Linked DNA regions of Drosophila melanogaster. The protein of the gene in region 1 interacts with the protein of each later gene in a pairwise test. Each region holds a gene or a part of one and is shown in the gene's direction. Other genes may lie near its edges.

What was found. Proteins that work in one complex are often made in the same cells at the same time.
Region 2: the proteins of Su(H) (region 1) and mam interact in a two-hybrid assay, tested with the Drosophila melanogaster proteins (6 studies listed by BioGRID).

The regions. Positions count from the first base shown.
Region 1 is NT_033779.5:15,035,257-15,045,276, forward strand, and holds Su(H) (suppressor of hairless), read left to right. Parts: upstream 1-4,231; 5' UTR 4,232-4,680; coding exon 4,681-5,064; intron 5,065-5,838; coding exon 5,839-6,719; intron 6,720-6,777; coding exon 6,778-6,985; intron 6,986-7,050; coding exon 7,051-7,362; 3' UTR 7,363-8,078; downstream 8,079-10,020. Other genes in the region: yellow-c, read left to right, coding at 308-540, 1,330-1,735, 1,795-2,472; CIAPIN1 (cytokine induced apoptosis inhibitor 1), read right to left, coding at 2,616-2,729, 2,798-3,294, 3,384-3,519. UniProt on the Drosophila melanogaster protein: Transcriptional regulator that plays a central role in Notch signaling, a signaling pathway involved in cell-cell communication that regulates a broad spectrum of cell-fate determinations.
Region 2 is NT_033778.4:13,989,228-13,996,090, forward strand, and holds the start of mam (mastermind), read left to right. Parts: upstream 1-1,975; 5' UTR 1,976-2,265; intron 2,266-2,750; 5' UTR 2,751-2,877; intron 2,878-6,863. Other genes in the region: RN-tre (uncharacterized protein), read right to left, coding at 1-397, 458-609.

The DNA.
Region 1 (10,020 bases):
TTTTTAAAGCATTAACAAGTAAATTCCAGATCTTCCTTCCGGTTATGTTGCTAATTTTAAGTCCCAGCCCATCGCAATAACCATTAACTTGCAGCTGGGCACTTGGTATAACAGTTTATAACTCCACGGGATCGAATATCTGTGTACTGTGAGCTTAAAGCTCCGCTTGTTTGGGATCCAAGCCAGCATATTAAGCCCGATTCCAAACTAAGCTCTTGCAGTTAGCGCGCTCAACTCGAACTGAACGGAGGTCCAAAAAAAAAGAAACGAGCAATCCAAAAAAAATCGAATAATTGAAAAATCCAAAATGAACCCACTAGGAATGTTGAGCCTGGGCTTAATGGTGTGCCTTATCGGCGCCTTCAGCCGGATTGCATCGGCCAAGCTGGAGGAGAAGTTCTCGTGGAAGCAACTGGCCTTCGATTGGCCCACTCCGGAGGCCGAGGCGGAGGCCAAGTCGAATGGCCACTACATCGTGGAGAACAACCTGCCGCTGGGCGTGGAGCGTTGGCAAAACAGAATCTTTGTCACTGTGCCAAGGTAAGTAACCAAATTCATAGACAAAAAAAAAAGAGACAACAAACTTACGGTAAGCTGTAGTTAGGTTTTCTTTTTTTTTCTTATTATTTACCTTTTTTGTTGGCTTGGTTTGTAATTAAATGTCAAGCTAGACTTGCAAAATCATCGAGCGTCAGGAGGGGAAACCGGTTTCCTCGCTGGCTAGTTAACTTTATCATTTTTTACCCCATTTGTGTATGTCTATTTTGCATTTTAAATCGTGGTTTCTAAATGCAAATCGTAACATGAGGTTAATTATAAATTAATAAGAGAAAACACATGATCGGAAAATTCTATGGAATATTATGGATCCCATAAAAGGCTAACTAGGTAACTAGTAAACAAAGTCTTTGTGACGTCACCTTTTTGGGATTTACCACCGATGCGCTTATTGGCCAAAAAGCCCCGAAAACCATTCTGCTTTTCGGGAGATATGAGTAATCAAAACAAAATTCGATTTAAAAACATTTCGAAAAATAAGATACGTAAAAAAAGTATATTTTGTTGATAATACAGCATAATTATTTAAGCTATAGTTGCCGTCAAAGTTTTAACTGATAGTGCTAAGATATAAATTAAAACTATAGCTTATATTAGACTATATCCAATCAGTCATAATAATTGCGCAGGTGAATGGTACTTTTTAATGTTATTAATTTGTTACTTGCCAGTGTCAGGTTTAAATGTAATTAGTAACTAAACAAGTCTGAAATGTAAATTTTTTAGTTAATTTATTTCTCCTCATTATTAAATGATCTACTTTCCCTTTAGATGGAAGGCTGGTGTTGCTGCCACACTCAACTACATCGACATTAATTCGACGGAGAAGTCGCCAAAGCTGCATCCGTATCCCAGTTGGGAGGCCAACAAGCTGCCCATCGATGTGCAGCCACAGGACCAAAAGACACCATCCGGTGGACGTCTGGACGCGGACAAGGCTCAAGATGCCGGCATCCAGCTGAAGGACAACTCCACTGTCATTTCCACCTTCCGAATTCAAGTCGACGTATGCGATCGCCTGTGGGTGCTCGATACTGGCTTGGCCGACATCCTGGGCAGTCCCAAGCAGATTACGCCCAATTCAATCCTGGTTTTCGACTTGAAAACAGATACTTTACTGCGCCGTTTCACCATTCCCGCTGATCAGACCAAAGAGGACTCGTTCTTTGCGAATATTGTGAGTATGCATAGGCGTATTATTTAAATTCCAAACTGATCGAATTAATCAATATTTAGGTTGTGGATGCGGACCGCTCGGAGTGCCAAGATGCCTTTGCTTACATTCCGGATTTGGGTGCCTACGGTGTGATTGTGTACTCCCTGAGGAACGACAAATCCTACCGCGTCAAGCACAACTTCTTCCACTTCGATCCTCTGCATGGTGATTTCAATGTGGGCGGCGTGAACTTCCAGTGGACGGATGGCGTTTTTGGGCTGGCCGTGGGCCCAATGAATCCAGATCACTCCAAGGACATTTATTTCCATGCCCTGGCCAGTACCAAGGAGTTCAAGGTTTCGAACCGCGTGCTGCAAAACGAATCACACGTGACCGCTGGCGATTCGTATTACGATTTTAAATACGTTGGTGACCGTGGCATGAATGGCCAGTCCACCGCCGAGGTCTTTGACCCCGAGACCGGCGTCATCTTCTATACGCAGGTGAACAAAGACGCCATTGCTTGTTGGAACATCAAGCGTCCATACACTCCGGACACCCAGGGGCTAATCGATTCCGATTCGCACACTCTGGTCTTTCCAAATGACATGAAAATCGACAATGAAGGCACTATTTGGGTGCTGTCCGACAAGATGCCGACATATTTGTACAAGGAACTCGATCCCTCGGCCGTCAACTATCGTATTTTGATGGGCCAGAACCGCGATCTCATCAAGGGTACACCATGCGAAATGTGATCACTTGGATATTTAAATCTACATGCTGTGTTTATGACGCGGTGCATTTTTGTATTTACATTATGACATTATTGTTTGTTAGTAAGTCAGCTTAATAAACTATTTGAAATGTGATTGATTGGGTATACCATGGTGAGCCTAAGTTAAATGTCGGATTTCAGGAGGTTGTCGGCCAGTTGCACCTTCTCACCGGGCTTAAAGGCGGGCATGCCCAAATAGGGGCAAGTGGAGCAGCGGAAGGCGTCGCCGAGATAACACTGTGCATATAAGAAATCAGTTATAATCGAGGTTAATGCTAACTCACATCGGGGTTAAGAGAACTCACATTTCCACAGCTTGACTTGGCATTCTCGGTGGCCTTCTGGCTCTGTTTTTCAGTCTCCAATTCCTCGGCCAGCCCGCAGGAGCAGTTTTTGCACGCCTTGCGCTTGCCCGTGGTGCTACAGACACGCAGACCAGCCGGATCCGGCTTCTGTTTGTCTTCCTCGTCCAGCAGCTCCTCCTCATCGATCAGTTCCTCATCGTCACCGCTTATCTTCCACACATTGACTGCACTGGCGTTCTTCTTTGCGAATGACAACCTGGCTGAGGATCCTGTCTCGTAGCCAGGCTTCTCGGCGGTCAAAGCATCTGGAGAGTCCTCGCGACAGTTTATGAATCCGGATAGCTTGATCTCCTGCAGCAAACTAGCCGCCGGACCGATGTAGGACACCAAATGCAGTTTGCCACTCGGTTTCAGCATGTGCAGCAGTTTTACGTAACTGTCGGTCAGCTGGGCGCACTCGATCACAATCAGGTCGAAACTGGAGTTGGCATAGGAAGCTGTAATGCATAAACATCACTGATTTTAATCTGCTGACTCACTGGCTAGTCAAAAACAGCACACACACACCGCACCGCACGCAACTTACAAAACGAAAGGCGGTGCACATTTTCCAAAGCCACATCGCCGCCAGTGGCCGCCTTTAGTTGCTCCACGCGCTTGTCCAAGTCGGCGCTGTCCGTCCATATGTATAGGGATTTTTGTAGACCCTTAAAGTTCTCCATTGTGGATGTGTTTCTAGAATATCTCAAAAGTTCAAGCACCGAACGGAACCGATTTTTGATTTCACAAGTTAGATATGGCAATGCACCGAAAATCGAGCGGTGATATCGATTGTACCTGCCTATCGGATTGCAAATGATATTCAGTGATTGTAGATTTTTCCACTTTACACTGTGACTGCTAAAATATATGAATAACTAAGTGTACTCCACCAGATTCGTTTTTTAATGAGTTACAGCTTACATTCTGATACATAATTAACAGCTTTTAGTTGCATATTGTGTGTTTCTGCCACTAAACCTATTTAAACGGTTACATTTAAGCCTAAAGTCGCGAATTATCTTTTAAATTCACCCATGTGTACTTTCCCACGGCCCGTTTTAAAAATGCATGGACAGTTAGACAAGAAGGTTGGTAGTTTGTACCTTGAATTTTAAATGTGGGCGCTCAAAATCGAAGTGTTCAATGAAAATCGATACCTTTCGCATCAGTTAAAAGTATTTATAGATATAAGAAATAATATCTTTAACAGTGATGTGATGGGAATAAATATACAAATGTATTCAGAAACTGCAAAGTTAAAACAAAATATATTAGCTACTCCAAATTGGCTATAAAATAACCAAATGCCCACTGCCATCCAAATCCAACCAACAGTGCTGTGAAGCGACAAACATATCGCCGGTAGGCAGCGACTATCATAAATAAGCGCCTATCGGACTATCGATACAACATCAACATCCTCAGTCGCTTTTTTAGTTGTAGCATATTATAAATATAACTCGAGCGCTAGTTGCAGCCTTAAACAGAAGCCAGCCGCCACTACCGCTAGTCGCTAGTCAAGATCTGCTCGAAACGCTGAAATATGTGTGATTAGTCGTGAATCGCAGCTAGCCGCAAATCCAGCTTGAGCTACAACAACAAAGCCAATCCGCGGTTAAGAGGAAGAGAGTGCGTGAGAGAAACGACAGCTGCTCTGCGTGTGTGTTTGTGCAGCAGGATAACAAAATAGAAAACATACAGCAGCAACAACAACAACAAAAACAGCACCAGCGAACAGTGTATAAAGTGCCAAACGAATTTGCCAAATAGCCAAAAACGAAATAATAGAAAAGATCCAAACAAAATTCCAATAAGTTCAATGCAAGGAGACATGTGCATAAATGAAGAGCTACAGCCAATTTAATTTAAACGCCGCCGCCCCGCCCGCCATTGCCTACGAAACTACGGTTGTAAATCCCAACGGCTCACCCCTCGATCCTCACCAGCAGCAGCAACAACAGAGCCAGGATATGCCGCACTTTGGACTGCCCGGTCCGCAGCCGCCGTCGTCGCAGCAGCAGCAACAACAATTGCAAGTGCACCACCAACAGCAGCAGCAGCAGCAACAACAACAACAACAACAGCAGCATCAACAACAAATGCAGATGTCCTTGCTGCCGGGTCCTTACCGGCCACACATCGAGGAGAAGAAGCTCACGCGGGACGCCATGGAGAAGTACATGCGCGAGCGCAACGACATGGTCATCGTTATCCTGCACGCCAAGGTACGAAAGGATTTCCACTTTTAAGCCGGTATTATCAGGTGCTTGGTCTGGATTTAGTATTCAAGATATTCTAAAACATACAAGGGAACTCCTGAGTCTTAAGTCTTAATTAAATTATTTGAAGCTTGAAATACATTATTTCAATATTACTAAAAATATATTAACCCAAACTGGAGAAACGTAGGATATCCTAACTTTCATTTAAATTAGAAACTTGGTCAGTTTTGTACGTCGATTTCCTAAATTATTCGATTTTTTAGATTAAATAGATTAAATTCAGATTTTCTTTCTATTTCAAGTTTAACGATGTATCCTTTCTTTGAAAATTACTTGTATGCTTTACAAGATATTTATTTTTTTTTTATAATTTAGTTTTAATCTAATCGGTCAGTCCGCAACGCCAAAACCACACCCACTATTTAAAGGTGCTAGTGTTTCCATTGTCCACTTTAAAGTGTTACATTTTTGCGGTTTTTGGCGAACGCAGACATGAAAATGGAATAAAATTGTCGCGGTTGCTTTTAGCGGTGGCGATCTTCAAGCGACGACTGCCGCCAAATGGGAATCCTTCACACTCGACTGCCCGCAAATTGAGCAACGCGAGCGCGGTCCAGTCCGCAATGAAAATAATTGAAATTAATTACAGAAAATTAACAAAGCTGCATTGCTTGCGGTTTTGATATGATTTTCCGATAATCTGGACGGCAATTTGTACTAATTGAATTTTCCCTGCACCATCGTGCGCCTCTGTCTGTCTGTCTGTGTGAATTCCAGGTGGCCCAAAAGTCCTATGGCAATGAGAAGCGATTCTTTTGCCCACCGCCGTGCATTTATCTGTTCGGAAGTGGCTGGCGCCGGCGGTACGAGGAGATGTTGCAGCAGGGCGAGGGCGAACAGGGAGCACAACTATGCGCGTTCATCGGTATCGGGAGCAGTGACCAGGATATGCAGCAGCTGGATCTCAATGGCAAGCAGTACTGTGCGGCCAAGACGCTCTTCATCTCGGACTCGGACAAGCGAAAACACTTTATGCTGTCGGTGAAGATGTTTTACGGAAACGGTCATGACATTGGCGTTTTTAACTCGAAACGGATCAAGGTTATATCCAAGCCGTCCAAAAAGAAACAGTCGCTAAAGAATGCCGATCTGTGCATAGCCAGCGGCACCAATGTAGCCCTGTTCAATCGCCTGCGTTCCCAGACTGTCTCCACCCGTTACCTTCACGTGGAGAACGGACACTTTCATGCGTCGTCAACACAATGGGGAGCTTTTACGATACACCTGCTGGATGACAATGAGTCCGAGTCGGAGGAGTTTCAGGTGCGCGATGGTTACATTCATTACGGAGCCACAGTCAAACTGGTGTGCTCCGTAACGGGCATGGCCCTGCCACGTCTGATCATCCGGAAGGTAGACAAGCAGATGGCCCTGCTGGAAGCCGACGATCCCGTTTCTCAGCTGCACAAATGCGCCTTCTACATGAAGGATACGGATCGGATGTATCTCTGTTTGTCGCAGGAGAAAATCATACAGTTCCAGGCCACGCCGTGCCCCAAGGAGCCGAACAAGGAGATGATCAATGACGGCGCCTGCTGGACCATCATATCCACCGACAAGGCTGAGTACCAGTTCTACGAGGGCATGGGTCCTGTGGCGTAAGTATAGCTTACTTACAACTCAATGGATTAGTTTTCATTTCGTGTTTTCTTCCAGTTCTCCAGTCACTCCAGTGCCAATCGTTAATTCCCTTAATCTCAATGGCGGCGGGGATGTGGCCATGCTAGAGCTGAGTGGCGACAACTTTACGCCGCATCTGCAGGTGTGGTTTGGCGATGTGGAGGCGGAAACCATGTACCGCTGCACAGAGACATTGCTATGCGTGGTGCCGGAGATTTCACAATTTCGAGGCGAATGGCTTTGGGTAGGTTTTCCAATGTAAATCTGTTTAATACGCGCTATAAATTTTACTTTTAATGGTCCTTGCAGGTACGTCAGCCCACGCAGGTGCCCATTTCGCTGGTGCGCAACGATGGAATAATTTATGCCACCGGTCTGACCTTCACGTATACACCTGAACCAGGTCCTCGGCCGCACTGCAATACACAGGCCGAGGATGTGATGCGAGCGCGACAGAACAATAACAATAATAACATCACTAGCATTAGCAACAATAATAACAGCAACAATGCGGGATCGCCGGCAGCCGGCGGTGGCTTGCAACAACAACAGCAGCAGCATCAGGCTCTGCCCTCCATCTCAGAAGTGCAATGGAATAGTCATGGTAGCGGCTTATCCTGAGTGCAGGATTATTGCATCGCACACATATGTATCCTAAGTTATTTATAGTTTTTATCGAAGACCTTAGTTTGTAGATTGACAATTTTTCTCATACTAATTTTCAACCCCTCGTGACGTAAACCAAAATGTGTCCCCTTCTCTCTAAAGTGAATCATACTTTACACATGTATCTAGTGCTAGTTCGGAACCAATAGAATTGTAAATGACACATAAAACTCTGTACATAACTCGAAAAGCTCACTGACATACATACATACATTTGTATGTGCATGAATATACCTTTACACAAAACATGTAATTCTAGTTAAATATACAATTGATGTAAGTTTATAGACGATTTTTAGATGCGGTTGAAATATTTATGATTTTCTTTGCTATGAATTTCCAAAGATCTAAATGAAAAAAAAAAATACTGCGAAATGCATCGGAAATTTTTATTATACACAAGCCAGTAGCCACGCTACAAAAACATTCCATTTCCCTCTTTAGCTTTCTAAAAAGTCGAAGACAAAGTCAAAAAGGGAAAAATTTGTTTCTGTACATACAGTTTTGTTGCATTTTTTTATTAACTTTGGAAATTCGTAGCATTAAAAATCCCAATAAAATATTTTGTAAAATAAAATCGCAACAAGACAAAACAGCGATTTATTTAAGTGTAAGCGAAATGCCTAACATAAATAAAAAAAAGAAATCCCAAATGATGACAAAGAATAATCAAATCATGTCAGCTTATGTTTTTGGTTTAGCGTGATTCTTCTGGTTCACCATTTTTCCTGTGGCCTAAGGTGGAGCGCTGGGGAGGATTGGTTGCCTTAAATTGCTGTGGGAATATTACCCAGTATCGTGTGAATATTTTTAAACAAAACAAGTGCAGCTCTTCCCACGATGGTTTGCCTCAACCCCCTCGGACGGGCCGACTTTAATTATAGTTTGGTCTGGAATTGCTGAACGCGAAGCTAAGAAGCAAATATACATAGATATATAACACTATTGTTTCCGTTTTGGCCAAGTTAAGGAGCAGAATATTCTCACAGCCCAAAAAGCCGCTGCCGAGCTGCTGTGAGAATTTTTACTGCCTTTGTTGAATATTTATGCATTCGTTGCTGCTGCTGTCTTTACAGATTTACAAATTAAGATTCGCAGTTTTGAATTAATTATCGCTCACTTCCGCTCGACGGAATCAGAAGGTGAGCGCTGGCCAAGCATTTAATCTCATCTTGCACTTGGGAGACATATTTCTTATCAGAGTCAGCCAATAGGAACTTGGCTGCAACCCCTAAGATTTTACTGCACCGGGCGATGGGAACGAAAGACTTAAACAACGAACTTTGGTTGCGTGAGGAATCAAACTACTGGCGGCCGCCTGTGTTCATTATGATGGAAAAACCACCACCAAAAGTTCTGGCTCTGGCAATTGGAACTGCAACCTCTTAAGGTCGTCGCCGTCTTATAAGAAGCTGAATATGAAATTAGTTTGGAATTTTTAATGAACAATTCCTTCACATTTCCCCAGGCCCTCTTTCTCCACCACTGTTTGGATAGGCGAGTGCGATGATTGTGGTCGTTTTTAGAAAGGGGGAGACAGCAATTTCTAAAAGTTCTCAGGACTGCTACACAACCTCATACCGTCTACTAAAAAAGTTCATTATCTTGAAAAATCTAAGTCTACCTGCCGTCGTCTTTAGTCTTTAGCTTGCCGTGCCGACTGCTGCCGTTTTTCACACGCTGGGGAAAAATGGAAATTCTCGCAAAATACAATGCGTGGGAAATCGGTGGCGTGGGAGTCAGGCAAGAAAATCAAGGGAAACTATATAATCCAGTCCTATAAAAATTTGTATTCACAAGACTTTGGACACGTACTCCCTTCCATGCGCGGTAAATCCAAAGCCGTAGGTCAAGATTGGTAAATCGATGGCAAAATCGATCGGATTTTCAAAGTTTATAGGGGTCGGTCGTAACCGTTACTTCAACTTGTTTAGTTCCATTGTTGTTACTTAACAAAGATATTTATATAAGACTAATTATTTTATTTATTAATGACTTTAATGAACTATTAACACTTGTGCTTACACAGCATTTTTTGTCTAAAATAGATTGGTTTGTTCTATACGAACCCATTTTCAAGACTTGTCACAAGCATTTGTTCAAGTTAAGTGTTATTAAGTGTCCAAAGTTCGTTTGTTTGTTTCTAAACGAAATGAACTTAAGACATTTAACTACGTGTTTGCACGTTTGTTTGTGTCCGAAGTATAATTTTCTAACCGTTGATCGAAATGAAATTTGCATTAATCCAGGTCAATGAGATGACCTTACCTTCCATCCGATTCTATTAAAAAGACCACATAATTTGTATATAATTTATTAAATAATTGAACATTTCTATGTATTTGATACAAAACGTCATCAGTACAGATATGCAGTTAGGATATACAAAGATATAGATGCAATATGTGTAGATACAAATGCTTATCTAAAAATATGTAAGACCTTTTCTTCATACAAAAACATTGTATTTAATAATTTAACCGGAATGTGCCATAAGAATACCTAAACGTGTAATTGCAAAAATTTATACAAATACAAATACTAAAAACAAAAGTTGCAAGTTGGTTTGGTATAATCGATAGCTGAACAAGACCAAAATTGGAATGAATTCTC
Region 2 (6,863 bases), on another chromosome or scaffold:
GTTGTAGATGCTATAGGCGTTGAGCACATTGAATAGCGAGCACTGCTTTACGCTGTAGCGCTCGCGAAAGGCAAGATTGTCGCGAAACTGACGATTCACATCGGCATCGATTTGTCGCGTCTCCGTGGAGTACTTCCTGGCCAGCTGCAGCATTCGGAGGTAGACGCCAGCATTGTTGTTTATCGATTGCTGGATGTCGAGCAGCTTATTCCAGGCCACCATACGCACGCGATCCGGTATGCCCTTGTAGACGCGCTTGTGCAGCTTATCCTGGGGCGGCGGCCACTGATTTAGCATCTTCATCCACTTTTTGTCCCGCTCCATTTCAATCTTGTTGCGATGCACCTCCTGGGCATCACGCGTCGACGGCAGCCGCGAGTCGTGCAAGAAGCCATATCTGTGGGAGCATCAATGGCATTATTGGGATTTTTTCTGGCGAATGATTAATATTACTCACTTGTCTGTCCTGTGGTAGATCTCGAAGGTGGGATTCTCCCAGGAGTCCACCACATTGCTGGGATCCAGCCCGAGTTCGTAGCGCCGGAAGATGTCCTCGCGCTCGTCCTCGGCCCGCTTGACCAGCGCCTCCTGCTGTTCGCCGTCAGTCATTTGGAGCAGGATCAGGATTTGGCGGGTGGGGGAGGGGATCGGGGACAGGAGCAGGAGCCGGATCCGGAGGAGCAAGTGGCCAGAGCTGGTTTCTCTGTGCTCTCAGTTGGGGAGCGGCTGCTTCTGAGCTGACTGGGCGATAGCGCGAAACTTTGATAAAAAAAAAATGGAATGGAAAAAATAACACACAAAAGCATTAACATGCGAAAGCGATCCACAATAACAACACTCGTATACTATATAGCTGATGAGCGAATGACGCACACGAACATTAACTATTGTATATATATATATATATATTCAAATGCAGTGAAATCAACATGATCTTTGTTTTTGGAGAAGGAGCGTGGCATAAATGACGTGATGTTTCACCCATATTTAGTGCAGCATCAAAACATAAAGCCATATAAGACTTGGTCACTGATCTAGAAAAACGCCCCCTGATCTGCGTTGTGTGAGTGTGAGTGGGCCAGAAATGTGTGGATCTGCATGCGCCCCCGGGTTTTTGTCGCCTATTTTAATGCGAAATGTGCAATCTTATGCTTTATCGTTCGTACACTTCCTGTTTTCGCTGCGATTTGTTGTATTTTGTCAACACAGACACATACGCACACACGTAACACACACACACACAGACGCTCCGACGAAAGAGAGTGTTCTGGCTTTCACTGGCCACTCTCTCCGCGTTCCTATGGTTGAGTTTAATTAATCGCGCCGACGTTCGTTTACCATTTAATTTTGAATTGCCAATTCTTATTATCCGCACTGATCGGTTATGTTTGGTAACTAGTTTTTCACTATTTTATCTCGGCTGCATGTTTCCGATACATTTGGGGGGCGACTGAGTGTGTGTGAGGGCCAGAGTTGCCAGACTGATGTAATTGCCGAATAACGTAACGTAACAAGAGTACCAGGGATGCGAGCCAATATTTAAGCGATACTTTAGCGTAATGTTATACGAGTTTAAATTTTAGTTGAAATGTTTGTGATGTCAATGTACAAATATGTAAAATGTTTATCTATTTAAAGCTGCAAATGAATGCTCATTTATAAATATTTAACAATGATATTTATTTACTTATTATTTAAAACCTATTCAGTTACTTAATTGCGACAAGTGGCACTTAATGAATTAAAACATTTGTGGAAAACATTTTCACTTCAAAATTTATTTCTTGATAACAAAATCGGCTTTTTAATTCAAATATAATTTTTGTGACTAAATAAGCAGTGCTGCCATACATTCAACTGGAAAACATCGTCAGCAACAGAAGGATAAGTAATCGCTTGATCGATAGCGTTATCGATGTTTTCCCAGCCATCGTTCCACCACTAGCGCCTCTCAAAACAACAAAAAAACAGCGGCAGTCGGACGCGGTTTTTATCATCGAGCGCGGTTTCTTTGTTTTAGCGCTCGAAAATTGTCGAGAACTCTCGTAAAAAATACACTGTACCAAATAACTAAGGAGTGCATGCTAATTGAACAAGCAAATGAATTAAGGTGTATATCAAAGTGAAAAGAAGTCAAACATAACCGATTTTGTTGGCGGCTTTCTTTTATTTTTGTTGAGATACCGTGTTTAATTTCTCCAGTTTTATGCAAACACATGAATAACATAACAGTGGAAATTTCTAAGAGTGCATTGTGAGATAAAAGTAAGCAAATAATTAATATTATGTTTAACATAAAATGCAACCCTCAACAGCGTCCTTTTTAAAGGTGTGCGTTTATATATATATATATATATATATATATATATATATATGTGTGTTTGTGTGTGCGTGTGAGTGATTGTGGATTTTGTGATGCAAAAGAAAATTGCCGCGTGTAAATTTTTGATTTTCAATTCGAGACGAGCAGAGGATTTTTAAACTGCAGCTCTAGCATTTACCGTTAGGGCAAGAGTAAACACATTCAACATGTTGCAGTCACTAAAAACTAAAACAAAAGCAAAGCGGATCACTCTCTTTCTCATTCTCTCATTCGCTCTCTTTGAGTTATAAGTGTTTTTGCCGTGTTTTGTTTTGATTTTTGCACATACACGAAGACATCGAGAGAGGAGAGCGGAGAGTTTCTGCTCTTTTGATTGTTGTTGCATTGGCCAGCTAATAAAATTGTGCCGTTCTTGTTGTTGTTGCAGTTGGATTAAAATTCAAAGCATTGGATAAATGCTAAGTTGAAATAACAACAGTAATAACAAATGGAAAATAGCAAATAGCAAATCAAAGGAAATCAAAATCAAGTTGGATTATCAGCACAGCTTCTGGGTAAGTAAGTTAAGTCTCTTATCGCCTAATTAGTTTATAGCGTTTTAGTTTCGTGTGGGTGGCTTTTTGCATTTCAAAACCAGTTCTATTTCGGGTTTTCATATGCCTTTTTTTCTCTTCTCATGTTGATAAGACCTTGAAGCGCTTTTCGTGTAGAACTTCGCATGATTGATGTTTTTATGTTTGAGGGGAGCTTGAGTCAAAGCTCGGCTTTTAAAAATGGATCAAGACCAGTTTTTCGAGGCTTTGGAATTGCCAAATAATTTCCTAAGCCCAAACTGCAGTTTGTTGTGGTTGTTGCTATTGCTTTTGCTTGCATCGCCTAGAAAATGATGGATGCACACACCTCTCGCTCTACCCTTGCCGTCCCTTTCGCACATCCAGAAGTTGTCGGTTGAGTTTTTATGGCCGTCTCTTTTGTCTCTCCATTTATTTGCCTTTGTCTTTGGACTGATGACTTTGTTTTTGCCCTGTCTTTGATTCTTTCTTTCTCTCTCTCTGCTTCTTCTTCAACGTTGATCCTTTGATTTCGTTTGATCCTTGTAGGTAGAAAAGATTGAGTGTGGGAGAGATCTACCGTTGTTTCGTTACTTCAATCTATAAGATACTAGAATTTTCTTTTTTAAAACCAATTCGAGAAATATTTCAATATATATTTTTGGGGAAAGAAGAATTTTAATTCTTTCGAATATTAAAGAGTTTTTTAAGATTGATTTATAAATTTCTTTTGGATCTTATTATTTGTATTTTGTATACGAAACATTCCATCTTATATTATTATCGTTAGTTTTTTGTAACTCCAAAAATCAAAATAAATATTCAAATAAAGAATTCTGTATTGCCTTTTGTTTTAATGCCATTATGCAATATATGCATTTATTGCTTAAATATTTTTAAAATTATTAACAGCATTCAGCTTATGTCTTTTGAACATTCTCCTTACCAATATCAGATGCATTCCAACCGAAATGCGACGAAGGGCATGCATTTAAACACAATACCTGGCATACTCGACATTTTAAATGCTTTTCATCACTTGATAAACAGTATTATTTGCCTTTCCTTTTTTTTTTTTTACATACATGTATCTCCCTCTGTTCGCCGCCGTTTGTTTTGCCCCCGTCTTCGCATATGTACGTCTTCGAGTGGTCTAACATGTAATGTATGCCTCGTCTTTAGTTTCTTGTTCGTTTCGTCTTTGAGACACCGGAAGTTGTTGCTAGGCTGAAAAAGTTGTGTGTGTTTTTCAGCAGTGTCTCCAGCTGTATCTTTATCTCCCTCTGGAGCCGTATATCCATCTCTATCGACGAGCAAGTGGCGCGTGTGAATGACCCAATTAAGCTGAAGATAACCCGGCCTAAGCTTCGACTTCGTAGGTGGCTTAAAACAACTCGGTTGGCCAAGAAGAAGCAGCCCCAGAACCTGCCAGACGAACATACCTACTATGGCACAACAAAAAAGAGTTCACATCGAATATATCGAATGCGAAGTTTGAACTGTAAACAGGTTTACTTGGCCTCACCTCGCTTCGTCTGCTGCAGTTGGCTGCTACAGGTTTGCCTCCGTATCGCGAACTGCGCGCCATGGAATTTCCTGTATTCATTCATTTTTGAATCCATATAACATAAGCCTTATTTCACTTAAGTTAAAAAACTACAATAAGAAGAAAATAAATGCATACCATTTCAATCTTAAAATTCTTGAAATAAAAAAAATTTCATTCCGGGTGTGAATTTGTGGATTTGATTAAATAAAAAATAACTGTAGTATATATATGTTGATGTTGAAATTTTTAAAAGCTCCTCCATTACTTTCTCCATTTAAGAAACAGGGTAATGTTTTTCTAAGGTCAGCTTATGCAAAGAATAACATATGCAGTAATCCCAGTTTAAGTTATCAACATTTCACTGTACATGGTTTAGTGTGGTGCTTTATTTTGTCAGGCCAAACTCCTTTTCAACATTTTTGTATTAAATATTTCGCACCATGTTCTGCATTTATTCGGATACGAGAGATCTCCCGAGGCTCCAGTCTTCAACTCCATCTCCTTCTGTGCGTCTGCCATCTCTGTTCGACGCTCTAATGCCGTCCTTTTCTGTGGCATATTTTGTCGTTGAGTCAGTTGGGGTCAATGCTGCTGCTCAACTTAACTCTTTGCTCACTCAACTCACTTTGCTCGATGGCCAAAACAGGTTTCCGCTTTGGCTGAGCTTTTGTTGTACGCTTGTTTTTTCGGGTTTTTCTCCTGTGCAGCAGCGCGGCCTCACCCACAGTTTGCTGTTTTATTTTTCGTTTCGTGTGCTTGGGCTTTGGGCCCAATACCCAATATATCTGGAATCCCAACCCTCGAGTGAAACATCCCTGCTGCCGCAAAACAGCCCTCAAAAGCGGGCAATCGCAACCTGAGACACTGGGAATGCGAGTGCAGATGGAACTTGGGAATCGTATTTTGGGGAGGGGTGTTGACGATGGGACTCTTTCGGATGGCGCTGCAGCTGGAGCTGTGTCTGTGGCTGGATAGTCCGGGCTATCCCGAAAGTGGATGCCCCATTCCAGGTGTTCGGTCGCTGCATTGTAGCAGGCGCTCAGCTGCATTCACCGCACGATTGTGTGCAGTGGCCGCATGTTGCAAGTTGTTGCACCAGCAACACTCAAGCGAATCTTTCGCGAAAGCCCGAGACGCAGGCACAGACGATGGCGACGGCGACTGGCATTTCTGCACCGGTTTTCCAGCCATTTTCCCCCATTCGCATTGGCCGCCTATGCTTTCTTCCTTATCGCCTGTTTCGCTGCTGCCACAACTTGCTGCTGTTGCCGCTGTACATGTTGCCGCTGTTGCTGCCACTGCATCTCTGGCTGCTGCTGCGCTGCTGTAAATGTTGCCGCGAATGTTGCTGCCGCGGCAACATTCGTGGTGCCAGCTGCACTTGCTACTTCGACCAAAGTTGCGGATATCAATTTACTTAAGCATTTGTGGCTCCTGGTACTGAAAGTTTTATTTGAAATTGATAGCCGGGAAATATATATGCGCATTTCTTCAAATCGCAGTATTCATTTCGTATAAGGTTAGGATTTGTTTCTTGTTTTTCTACGTTCGTAACCATGTAATATAATTAATAATATTTACAAGCACGTCGATATCAATTGAAACGATACCATAAAATAAAAGGATTACTTTACAAAAGAAAACCTATTAATAAAACCTATTCAACTCAAGTTAAAACTGTAAGATCACACACGTTCTTGTGTATAAAGTAATCTTGAGAGGTTTTTGAACATGAGGCATCGCACCCATTTTGGAACCAATCGCATACAGTGCGATCAAGCAGACTCCAGTGGCTTGTGGACCGGGTGTGTTTGCTTTTGCCTTAATCAGCAGAAAATCATATGCGAAATGTACGATACAGATGTGCCCATATACACATCTAGCTATAGCACTCTTTATGTAGAGCCCCTCTAGCTCTAGAGTCTAGACTCTAAAGTCTAGACCACATAAACGCGTATCGATGGCGACGAAATGTGTACATCGCACATGAACGAACGGGGCGAGTGAGTATGTACAGTTTAAGAGAGCGAGGCAATATGAAATATAAACAAATAATTAACTGACATATCCGTATGCTTATCGCGCAACAAACCGCAGCAGCAGCAGCAGCAGCAACAACAGGGGCAACAGCAACGGCAGAAGCACAGATACAGATACATCAGATACAGATACGGACACGGATTCAGATACAGGCACACTTTCGGGGCGAGAGCGACTCTGAAATTTGTTTCTGACAAAATGCCATAATGAACGTGCTGAGTGGCGTCGCGGAACCAGATACTCATGACCAGATACTCGTACGTCCACGTCCGAAAAACCCGAGAGATACTCTCGTACTCGTACTCGTACTCGTATTTGTACTTGCTCGTCGTTTTCCGTTGTACTTGCGTCGCGGCAGCGGCAACAACATGAACAGAATGTATCTACAACATCAAACGTG